2 linked regions of the Oryzias latipes genome follow. Each later gene encodes a partner of the first gene's protein in a complex. Links are inferred from orthologs where the notes say so. Each region holds a gene or a part of one and is shown in the gene's direction. Other genes may lie near its edges.

The links. The genes of interacting proteins can lie anywhere in the genome.
Region 2: heterogeneous nuclear ribonucleoprotein Q (region 1) and rpl13a share a complex: the UniProt entries of both Homo sapiens proteins name them as parts of the GAIT complex. The link is inferred for Oryzias latipes from reciprocal best matches to the Homo sapiens genes SYNCRIP and RPL13A.

What each region holds. Positions count from the first base shown.
Region 1 is NC_019882.2:1,561,340-1,566,534, reverse strand, and holds part of heterogeneous nuclear ribonucleoprotein Q, read left to right. Parts: coding exon 1-74; intron 75-154; coding exon 155-376; intron 377-566; coding exon 567-743; intron 744-844; coding exon 845-980; intron 981-1,070; coding exon 1,071-1,276; intron 1,277-1,862; coding exon 1,863-2,012; intron 2,013-2,098; coding exon 2,099-2,220; intron 2,221-2,304; coding exon 2,305-2,911; 3' UTR 2,912-4,319; intron 4,320-5,195. UniProt on the Homo sapiens protein: Heterogenous nuclear ribonucleoprotein (hnRNP) implicated in mRNA processing mechanisms. Component of the CRD-mediated complex that promotes MYC mRNA stability.
Region 2 is NC_019880.2:9,906,576-9,912,678, reverse strand, and holds rpl13a (60S ribosomal protein L13a), read left to right. Parts: upstream 1-2,517; 5' UTR 2,518-2,578; coding exon 2,579-2,599; intron 2,600-3,211; coding exon 3,212-3,284; intron 3,285-3,476; coding exon 3,477-3,542; intron 3,543-3,588; exon of another isoform or gene 3,589-3,669; intron 3,670-3,735; coding exon 3,736-3,837; intron 3,838-3,931; exon of another isoform or gene 3,932-4,011; intron 4,012-4,092; coding exon 4,093-4,178; intron 4,179-4,335; coding exon 4,336-4,395; intron 4,396-4,587; coding exon 4,588-4,797; 3' UTR 4,798-4,845; downstream 4,846-6,103. Other genes in the region: ATPase inhibitor B, mitochondrial, read left to right, coding at 783-895, 985-1,126. UniProt on the Homo sapiens protein: Associated with ribosomes but is not required for canonical ribosome function and has extra-ribosomal functions.

The sequences.
Region 1 (5,195 bases):
TGAAAGAATTCAATGAAGAAGGTGCGCTGCAGGTGCTGGTCCAGTTTAAAGAGAGTGATCTGTCACACGTACAAGTAAGTTTTTGGATCCTGGAGGTTTGAAGAGGTCGCATTGTTATTTCATGTGATTAAAGAGGCAACTGTTTGTCTTTCAGAATAAAAGTGCCTTTCTTTGTGGGGTGATGAAGACTTACAGGCAACGAGAGAAACAAGGGACTAAAGTTTCTCGTACTTCCAAAGGACCAGATGAGGCTAAAATCAAAGAACTCCTGGACAGAACCAAATACACACTTGATGTTACAACAGGTCAGCGAAAGTATGGCGGACCCCCACCTGAGTCTGTGTACTCAGGTCCACAGCCAACTGTAGGAACTGAGGTACGGGGTTAAATTCAACGAAGACAAAGCCTGAGAATAAACAGAAGCAAATGTCAGTGAATCAAGAGACCCACTTCTTTGTCTAAGAAACTGGAGGAGCTGTAGCCGGACATTGTGTCTGCAGCACCCCCACACTGAAATCAGTGGTATTCACCTGTATTCTCTGCATTGAATTCTCTTTTTCTGGTAGATCTTTGTTGGGAAGATTCCCAGGGACTTGTTTGAAGATGAGCTGGTTCCTCTCTTTGAGAAAGCTGGATCTATTTGGGACCTCAGGCTCATGATGGACCCCCTAAGCAGCCTTAACAGGGGTTATGCTTTTGTTACATTCTGCGCTAAAGAAGCAGCACAAGAGGCGGTCAAACTGGTGAGTTCATGGAGTTATTTTCAGACAAAAACTTTCATTTTCAAATTAAAATGGGCCGAACGGCCTGTTCCTGACCGTCATCCTGAAATGCCTTTTTACAGTGTAATAACTACGAGATCCGCCCCGGAAAGCACATCGGTGCGTGTATATCTGTCGCCAACAACAGGCTGTTCGTTGGCTCTATTCCCAAAAGTAAAACAAAGGAGCAGATTGTTGAAGAGTTTTCAAAAGTCACAGGTACGACCGGGGTTCCTGTCGGTACTTGAAGAACTTTCCTTAAATATAAATCTTGTGATTTATTTTGTTCTGAATCTTCTTTGTGTCCAGACGGCCTGAACGATGTGATCCTGTACCATCAGCCCGACGACAAAAAGAAGAACAGAGGCTTTTGTTTCCTGGAGTTTGAAGACCATAAAACAGCCGCTCAGGCACGGCGCAGGCTAATGAGTGGGAAGGTCAAGGTCTGGGGCATCCTGGTCACAGTGGAATGGGCTGATCCCATCGAGGATCCCGACCCAGAGGTCATGGCCAAGGTGAGCATCACCCTTTGAAAACCTGATGCTGAACTGAGAAACCCAATGCATGGAAACGCCTGCAGGCCTGTTCCTTTGCCCCCTTGGGGAAGGATGGGTTTGTTTGAATGTTATCTGGCCAAAGCGGTACTCTTCAAAAAGTGTTACTGCATGACAGAGTACTTAAAATGCTTAATGTCCTTATTTTTAACAGTCTGCAGTGCACCTCTGTTTTCACACACACAAGGAAACATATTTTACCTCTCATCGCCACGGCAACAGACTTTTTTCAGAGCAGTGCACATTATCCGTCGGGTAACTGTATTAGGATCTTCTGCTGTGAAGTACAGACAAAGCTGCGCTCGCTAGAGTAAAGCTCCACCCCCACAGCCTCACGCCTTCTCATAGGAGCCGCCCACAATCACTGGAAAGGCAATATTATTGGCTAGAGTTCAGTAAGACTGGAGAGTGATACGTGATATGAACGAAGCCCAGAAATCTGTTTTTAATGGTTCTGGTAATGCGGCACACGTTGGTACAAGGATGTCCTGACAGAAGGAAGCTGCACAGGTCTGATGGGAAAAGCGTTTCTCTATCTGTGTTGCAGGTGAAGGTTTTATTTGTGAGGAATCTCGCCAACAGCGTTACGGAGGAGATTCTTGAGAAGTCTTTCAGTGCGTTTGGAAAGCTGGAGCGAGTGAAGAAGCTGAAGGACTATGCCTTCATTCACTTTGAGGAGCGGGAAGGTGCAGTGAAGGTACACACTTTCATTCAGAACCAGAGCATTCTTTCTAAAAAACAACACAAAAGAATGGACCTAAAACTGACCAAACCTTCATTTAGGCCTTGGATGAAATGAACGGGAAAGAACTGGAGGGAGAGCCAATCGAGATCGTCTTTGCCAAACCGCCGGATCAGAAAAGAAAAGAACGCAAGGCTCAAAGGCAGGCAGCCAAAACACAAATGTATGAGCTGTTAAATCAGCAGGAAAGCCTTCCTCCTCCACAAATACTGACTTTATGCTTCTGATTTTTTTTCCTTTCTGTCAGATATGATGATTACTACTATTACCCTCCTGCTCCCCACGCGCCCCCTGCAAGAGGCCGGGGCCGAGGAGGCAACCGGGGTGGATACGGCTACCCCTCCGACTACTACAGCTATGATGACTACTATGACTACTACGGCTATGACTATCACAACTACCGCGGCGGCTACGAAGACCCCTATTACGGCTACGAAGACTTCCAGTCCCCGAGCCGAGGGCGCGGCAGCAGCAGGGGCGCCCGTGGCGGAACTTCACCGGCTCGAGGACGCGGCAGCGCCGGCGCGCCGAGGGGCAGGCCCAGCTTCCCCCCGCATGGAGGGCCTGGACCGAGCCGCGGAGGGCGGGGAGCGAGAGGAGGCGTGCAGCCGAGAGGGCGAGGAGGGGTACGTGGTGTTCGGGGTGGCCGCGGTGGAAATGTAGGAGGAAAGCGCAAAGCTGATGGGTACAACCAGCCAGATTCCAAGCGTCGCCAGACCAATAATCAGAACTGGGGCTCTCAACCCATTGCTCAGCAACCCCTCCAAGGTGGTGATCATGCTGGTAACTATTTTGGTTACAAATCTGACAACCAGGAGTTTTATCAGGATTCTTTTGGGCAACAGTGGAAGTAAACCAGTAAGGCTTTCATAAAAGGAAAGAATTTATCCTTTCTGCCTTGTTTTTTCTCATTTAGAGACTTGATCTAATTGGCCCTCTATTCCATTTTGTTGCCAGCTTTATTTTTTTGTTTTTTCCACTCAAAAGTTAGTGACACCTGGCAGGATATCTTTATGTATATATTTTATCGATCCGCTTGGACTCGATCTAGTCACTCTCACCTGCTTCTGGCAAACTGCATTTTTTTCCTTTGTTGTTTTTGTTTTTTTAAGGTGGTCGTAAAAGATTCTTCAAATCCAACTTTTCCAACATTTTTAGATGCGAAATGTGCTGAAGCTGTCTATTTGGCTGTAGCTTAATGTATGTTTTATAGAAATTCTGATTTTAATGTTTTAACTAGTTAAAATAAAAAAGCTACCAAGCTTCTGTCTCCTAAAAATGTATTTAATAAGAGTGAAATTACAATTTGTATTGTAAAAGTAATGCGTGTCTTGTTATTGAAAAGAAAAAAAAAAAAGGACAACCGTAGTCCTCATTTTTGGGCTTTACATTTTGGCTTGTATTCTTTGCTGTTTGTCTGCTTTAATAAACATACACGCACACGTGTACAAAAACTTCAAATTGTGTCGCAAATTCATGTTTCGGCAAATTCTCTTTTCAAATTTTCTTCAAATTTAAGGCTCCATGTGGAAGAAGGTGGACTGAAGGTTTGCCATTGTTGGCCATATGCTACAGTGTCACCTTGCATGCCATCCAGTTCCAAGTCACCTTCTGTAGTCGGCATCTCAGAGCTCTGTCTGTGTAGTGGCGTACCTCATGTCCCAAAACATCTCACTAATTGGTGTCCCAAATTCACTGTCAACGCAGCGACGTCAGAACGGCCTGGGGGGGGGGGGGGGGGGGGGCACAAAAGCACAATTGGATTGTAGCCTCAGACTGAAGCTTTTCCTGGTCCCAGAAGGAACTTTGCTGTTCACAGCGTGGAAACTAAACCTGCATGTTTATCTCCAGGTTTGGCGCCGGACTTGTGTTGGGAAGCAGCGCTTTGCATGCCTCCTCCCTGTAGATCTGATTTATGCCCTCATTCCTGCTTCACCCGTGTCTCTGCCATCTCAGCCTTTCCCCGCTGCTCCCTTAAAGTTTCCCGGCCAGAAGCGGCTAGTTTGTCAGGCGCCGGCGTGCATGTTTACTCTGCTTCTGTCACGCCGGAGCTCCCCCCGCCACGTGTCGGTGCTCAGTGTTTAGGGAGCTCGGCGGCATTTGAGTGTGTAGATGTTACCTGATGCTGTTTTCCATCCTCTAATAACTTCCTTTTGTTACCTGGCTAGCAGGGAAGAGGGGTGGAGGCCGGCCCTGATGTGTTGCTCTGAAGACTGACGAGCACATGGCGTTGCACACTGCAGGCTGCCCGTGGAGGGAATGGTAAGGTCACCTGATACAGTGGTCCAATGGTGTTCCAGCCTTTTGTCAAAGACCCACTCTGATGAAAACATGCTCTTCTGGCATTTTGTTTGTTGCTCCAAATTGCATTTTTGAGTACCGTATTTTCTGGTGTAGAAGTCTCAGGGCCCAAAAAGAAAAACGCTGCGTCAGAGTTTTGGGAGAAGAAAAGTTTGACGCTTTTGAACGAATCCAACAAATTCACGCGGAACGCCATTCACGTGTCCAATTTGCTCCCGCTGCTTTTTTCCTGATGTGCATCAAGTTTGATACGTTTATAAACCAGAAGCTCCTGTCACAAGTGGGAGGGGCTACTGTCCAGCTTTTTAGCTCATTGCTGCATAGCAGGATTGGCTGCACACGTCACCTACATGCAAGGAAGACGTGAATGACGTCAACGTATCTACCAAAGCTTCGGTGAACACGGCTCCACGTCTGGCCTCGTAAGATCGTTCCGTTTTTGTTTTGGTACGGCGGCGTTTACCTCCAACTCCTTTCAGCGGTACCGCCGTGTCTCTGCGTCCCCCTTTGATGACTCGCTGCCCCGCCTTAGTCTGAGGTCCCGAGTCAAATCCAAACACATCTCAAAGTTCAGGAGAATGGACGGCCCTGTTAAACACACCGGCAGTACTTTTTAGTGGAAAATAAAGGTAGAAGTATTTTTTAAAAATCACATAAGCTGCACAAAAAAACACACAACTCATACTCTGAAAAATATGATATTTCTTTATTAGAAATGTTAATAAGGAGCAAACAAAGGCTGTTGTAAGCAGACCACAAGCTCTCTGCTCCAGGTTCAAAGCAATCATGAGGGGAAGAGGGTCCGGGGCTGCTCCACGCCGACGGCCCCGCCCACAA
Region 2 (6,103 bases), on another chromosome or scaffold:
TCTCTTCCTTTTACCTGACGTCCTATCAACAAAAGTTTTTTTCCCCTCCCCTAACTTTATTTAAAATGAGACAAGAACAGCCATATCTGTTCGTATGCCGTAAGTGCGCAACATGACAAAGCATGGGAGGCAAGAAAAATTAATAACATCAGGAAAATATCTTAACATAATAAAATAATAATTAAATAGAAACAAATAAAAGATTTATTTCCGAAACAATCGGAAATAACAGGTGCCTAACCTTTAGACTTTCTGACCCTTAATCAGGACTGGTATTTTTTTAAAATGTAATTTACTAATGAAAACCAGGAAAAATGGTTACGTATTCAGTATATTTGCATGTATAAATATTATTTTTGGCTGAAATTAAAAATGACCCTCAAAAATAAATGTTCTTAGTGCGATGTTCACAAAGAATCAAAATCATATGCTTGTATTAAATAATGGAAGAAGTTTGTTTTGGAGAAAAATAAAATACCAGACTTTCTTTTTGGGTGCACGCCAAGAATAAGTACGTTTATTATAAGATTAGCTCCTGATATTAAAAACGTCTTGAATCAGTACGAAGTAAAATATTTATCTGGCTGTTACATATTTTAAAATGTTTTAAAATAACACTTCTCTAACTCTGTTAAAATAATCTCTATGTCAACAGCCAGACCGCTTTTTTGGGGGGGAAAGTTATAAACTTTTAAAGTTTGTAGTTTAAAAGGTTTGTGAACATTAATGCACCAAAGATTGAATTCATTGATGATTTCTGTGGTCTGTTGCTCCTCCCTTAGCTGGGTGAACTAGGTAAAGGTGCAGGGAAAGGTGGAGGAGGCGGAGGCTCCATTAGAGATGCGGGTGGAGCCATGGGAAAGAGGCAGGCTGCTGAGGAGGAGCTGTACTTCAAGTATGTGTCATTTTATCCTGCATTAACATCTTACTTCAGTGCTGATAGTCTTGGCTTTTTTTTTTAAATCACATTTTGTGCTTCTTTAGACGTAAAGAAAAGGAGCAGCTGGCTGCGTTGAGGCAGCACCACGAGGAGGAAATCGACCACCATAAAAAGGAGATTGAACGTCTGCAGCGTGACATTGACCGCCACAAGGGAAAGATCAGAAAGTTGAAGCACGATGACTGAGTCAATCCCTTCAAAACGTCCAACCTTCAGTCATCAGAGGCGCCTTTTTTGTAAACACACCGATAACAATGCAGACTGTATTATCTGGCAAATCCGGATAATATAGGATGTTCTCTGTAAGTGTTGACAAATAAATAAAACTGTTCATGAAATTACATTTGCTTCACTTCCATGCTTTTTCAGAACAACACAACATTGTTCTCACTACACAAACTGTTAAACTACTGTCCTTTGGGTTTTGTGTTTGCAAGTAAAACAGAGTAGAAATGTCGAAATGCAGTTTTTAGATCATTGCATGTTATTTAACGGTATTTCTTTAAAGCCTGATGTAATCAGAAGTGGTATCTTTAAAATCTGTCAAAGTTGAAAACTTCTCCAAATAGAAAATAAGCTACTTTCTTATTACTTTATCCCCACTTGGAGCCTTCTGTGCCTAATTTTTGTTAGTACTTTGACTGAAAGTGATCAGAGTAATTAGTAAATGGCAAAAGTAAACTAAATGTTTTTTAAACTGTTAAGGTGGGAAAGGCTTGCTTTTTATGAGTATTTTTAACCAAAGGAGTTGTTTAGTAATTAATCAGACAGGTGATTTCAGGTAATAACTGGAGAGTTGCAGGACAAAACACGAAGAAAGTTATTACATGTCAAACCATAACAGGCTTTGTATTCGGCAAACTAGGCTGCTCAATTGTATCTTGGGTTATCATGCTAAGGGCTGCAATGTGAACCAAAATATGAGTTTATAAAAGAAATGATGGGTCATTTTGTGCTACACGGTCTTGTTCGCCTCGCAATGGAAGGCCCTGGTTTGAATCCCACCTGAAACCTTTCTGTGTGGAGTTTGCATGTTGTCTGGGCACTTAGACCTTTTTGTCACAGTCTAAAAACATTCTTCGTAGGTTAATTGTGTGCCCTGCAACAGAATGGTGACCTGTTCAACCAGGGTTTACCCCCCCTTTACCTAACAGCGGGGAAAGTCTCCAGCAACCCTGTGACCCCAAAAGGGACAGAGTGGTTATAGAAAATAGATGGATGGATGGGTCATTATGTGTTTTACAATGAACCCTTGATGTGTCATGAAAAGAAGTGTCAATAAAGTTTGGTTGAAATCAATTAACTTCAAGTATGTACTGTTTTTTAACGTACTTTATAAATCTTGCACCAAATAGTTATGTATGTTGATTTTTTTTTATTTGTTATAAAGACTATCTTGCTAAAATTAATATGGGTTGGTAATATATAGACTGTTTTAAAAATATTATTATTGTTGTTTTCTTTTTTAAATATTATTTATTCAGGTTGCACCTTACAGCCTATGGGTGGCACTCATCATGCTCTCGAGGAAATGTGAACGTGCGAAAAAGACGGATGAAAAAGACTTAAATGTCGTCACTTCCTGCCACCCCTGCCTTTTACCATGAGCAACCCCGTTCGTCTTTCTTTTCGCTCATCATGGCGGACCGGTTCAATAAGGTGCGTGGAAGCTGCTTACACATATTCATTGTTTTTTCACTGTTTAGTGTATCTGGTCTTTTGTCCTTGGTTCACTTGTATTGTGCGATCATTTGTGTTGCAATAGATTCCAAATTTGTGATTTTCGGGTCATTCTCTTAGCCTCAATTTGAAACATTTGAGACGAGAAGCCGAGAGAACATGCCTTCATAATGGCAGCCTCCCTAAGAAAAGGGCTGATTAGCTTGCTAGCCTTACTTTATTTACGTCAACTTTAGTAGTTTGCACTTAGTTGGGTGATTTTGAGATTAATTAATTGAGCTACTTTCTTATTTAGGAAAGATCTGTAATATCTTACCGTAACGATATATTTACGTATTGTTTGGAAGGGGAGTTGATGCATTAGCATGCTTGACGTGTACGCTAGGGGCTATCATCGTTAAGTTAGCCGGCCTGATTTAAAATTTTGTAGCTTTTAAGAGTTTTCCCCTCGTTTAATAAAGAGTTATTTTTTGTTCACCGTTAGTTGTGTACAATTAGAAATTTAAATCACCGTAATTTGAATGTAAATTCATTATAACACCCCCTCGACCACATGTCGCAGTGTACTAACACAATAAATCCTCCTTGCAGGTTCTGCTGATAGATGGCAGGGGTCATCTATTGGGCCGGCTGGCTGCCATTGTGGCTAAACAAGTTCTGCTGGGTAAGTTATAAACGATCTCTAATGGTATTTGGCTACTGGCTCCATCTATGATGATTCCACATTCTCCCTTGGTTGAGTTTTAAGGACAATGAGAATTTTATATGTATCTGAGATTTTGGACAATTGGGATTATTGATCAATTTGTTATATTTTTTTATTCTTAATTTGTCCATTTTTTTTTTCTTTCTTTAGGGCACAAAGTGGTTATAGTGAGATGTGAAGGCATCAACATTTCTGGCAACTTCTATCGCAACAAGCGTAAGTCAATATTGAAATTTTGGCTTTAATTTTTATTTTATAAATGTTTGTCTGTGATGTTTTCCCACTTGTATTTGAGTTTCATTGACCTTGAAAACATTGTACATGCACTACCATCTGAGACAAGCATACATCAATTCTCAGCCGTTCTGGTGGATAGAACATAGTTTAATGTTTGACTTGTTTCTGACAGTGAAGTACCTGGCTTTCCTGCGCAAGAGGATGAACACCAACCCGTCTCGTGGGCCGTATCATTTCAGAGCTCCCAGCAGGATCTTTTGGAGGACAGTTAGAGGTGGGGTGTGAACACATTGAATAGTGCAACACTGGTGTATTGATGTAAATTACATGGGACAAAAGAACAGTTGTGTATCAGGTGGATCCTTGCTTTACAATGATGAACTTTTTTTATCCCGAATCTGATTGAATCACTGATGATCCAAAACTTTACGGATCTGATTTCTGAGTTAAGCAAGGATTTGATGTGTTTATAAGATCCAGAGTGTTTGTTTTTATACGTTAAAATTGATGAATGTTTTGCTCCCAACAGGCATGTTGCCCCACAAAACCAAGAGAGGCCAGGCTGCTCTGGAGAGGCTGAAGGTGTTTGATGGCATCCCACCTCCCTATGACAAGGTGTGCCACTGTTTGATGACCTATGGCCAACTGTCTGACTTTTAAATCACATCTTTTGTTAAAAAAAAAGTTTTTAAATGTATGTGACAACGCAATTCCATCAGTGGAAAATGTTTGTTTTTTAAATTCCTACTAAATCTTTGGTTTTGACTTGCAGAGAAAGCGCGTGGTTGTGCCAGCTGCTCTTAAAATTGTGCGGCTGAAGCCCTCTCGCAAGGTAAGTCTTAAGAATAAATAAATCCATGTTTTAATGAACCGTTGCCAGATAAAGGTCAATATTTGTTTAAAGCATAATCCAGCAAGGTGATAATTGCACACATGTTCTATGCTAGCAATTTTCTGTTTTTATAAAAACAATTTCTTTGAGTAATTTCAGAGCCTAAGTTTCTGTTGCTTCGTTTGTCTTCAGTTTGCTCTCCTTGGGCGTCTCGCCCACGAGGTCGGCTGGAAGTACCAGGCTATCACAGCCACTCTGGAGGAGAAGAGAAAAGAGAAGGCCAAGCTCCACTATGTCAAGAAAAAGACATTGGTTAAGCTAAGCAAGCTGGCAGAGAAGAACGTGGAGGGCAAGATCGCAAAATACACAGATGTTCTGAAACAATACGGTGTTCTTGTCTAAAATGGTTTGTTCTGGCGAATAAAGATGAATAAATGTTTATAAAAAGTGTTTTGATTCTTTCTTACTCAGCCCTGAAGTACAGTTGATTAATTATGGGATTTAAAGAGACATATTAAACGGGATGACTATTTAATGCTCTAAAGTAACTTGTGCAGATCAAAGGAACTTTTTCCTGGAGTTTATCGGAAAAGCATTTAATTGATAAACAACTATAGCATTCCCAGTATAACATTGTGGGCTTCTTGCACCGCTACTTTTTTTTGTCTAGAAGTCTGTATTTAACAATCACACAAAATTGTGGTTGAGTGATGGTGAAAGGGTTAATGGATTTTCCATATATTAAAAAATATTTCAGGCTTTAAATAAAAAAAAAATGGCTTCAGGTTCATAGTTTATGAGGGAAGCTGGTAGTAAATTTCTCGGAACCTCATGGAGTTTTCTACCAGCAGAGGGCAGTATTGCAGCATTTTAGAGTGACAAATCTGCAAAGCTTTGGAGTGACAGTATTTGATTCGTAGTTTAAGATAAATCTCTTGACAATAACCATCTTGGCAAAAACTGGTCATAAAATTCATTCTAAGAGCAGAGTTTCACTTGTGTAAAACTGTGTGCAGACTAGATTTCTCAGTCTAATGTATTCAGTGCAGTGGAGGTTTAGGTGGAATTTTTATTCTGGTTCTCATGGGAGGGAGAGCTTTTGTTGAGCAGTCTGTAGTTCCACTACCTCATTTAAGACACTCATATCATTACCAGTTCAACTGCTCTCTATAGCAGTCCTTTAATAATGTGCCTCATCTGTAATAATCTTTAAATTGAAACCGGTTCACTTGAAGATGATTGACCCTTTAATGCATTTTCCCAAATGAAAACCTTTTTTTAACACAATTGATTTCAACTTGAATAAATTTAGCAGTGACTGATAAGCAGAATCAGGTGTTCCCTTTTGTTTCATGTCAGCATTGTACAGGTAGCCGCTTACGGTGTCTGACTTTTATTTTATGTATTTGTGATGATTTTCCTTTTGCTCTGCTCGGATACATTTTAAAATCACAAGGGGAAAAAAGAAGATGAGAAAACATTTTTTTGGACTACAAAGAATCACCCAGATGGATTTTGGGATGTCTGAAGGGGTCTCACAGGTGTACCAGTGGTGTTGGATATCAGCAGCTCACTAATGATGTTGAGATGAAGCAATCTGTTCAGATTAGAGGGGAAAATTACTTCTTGATAGACACAATTTATACAAATTGATCAGAAACAAATAACCTTCATACTGAGGGAGTACTGAAAAGATTAGAATTCACTG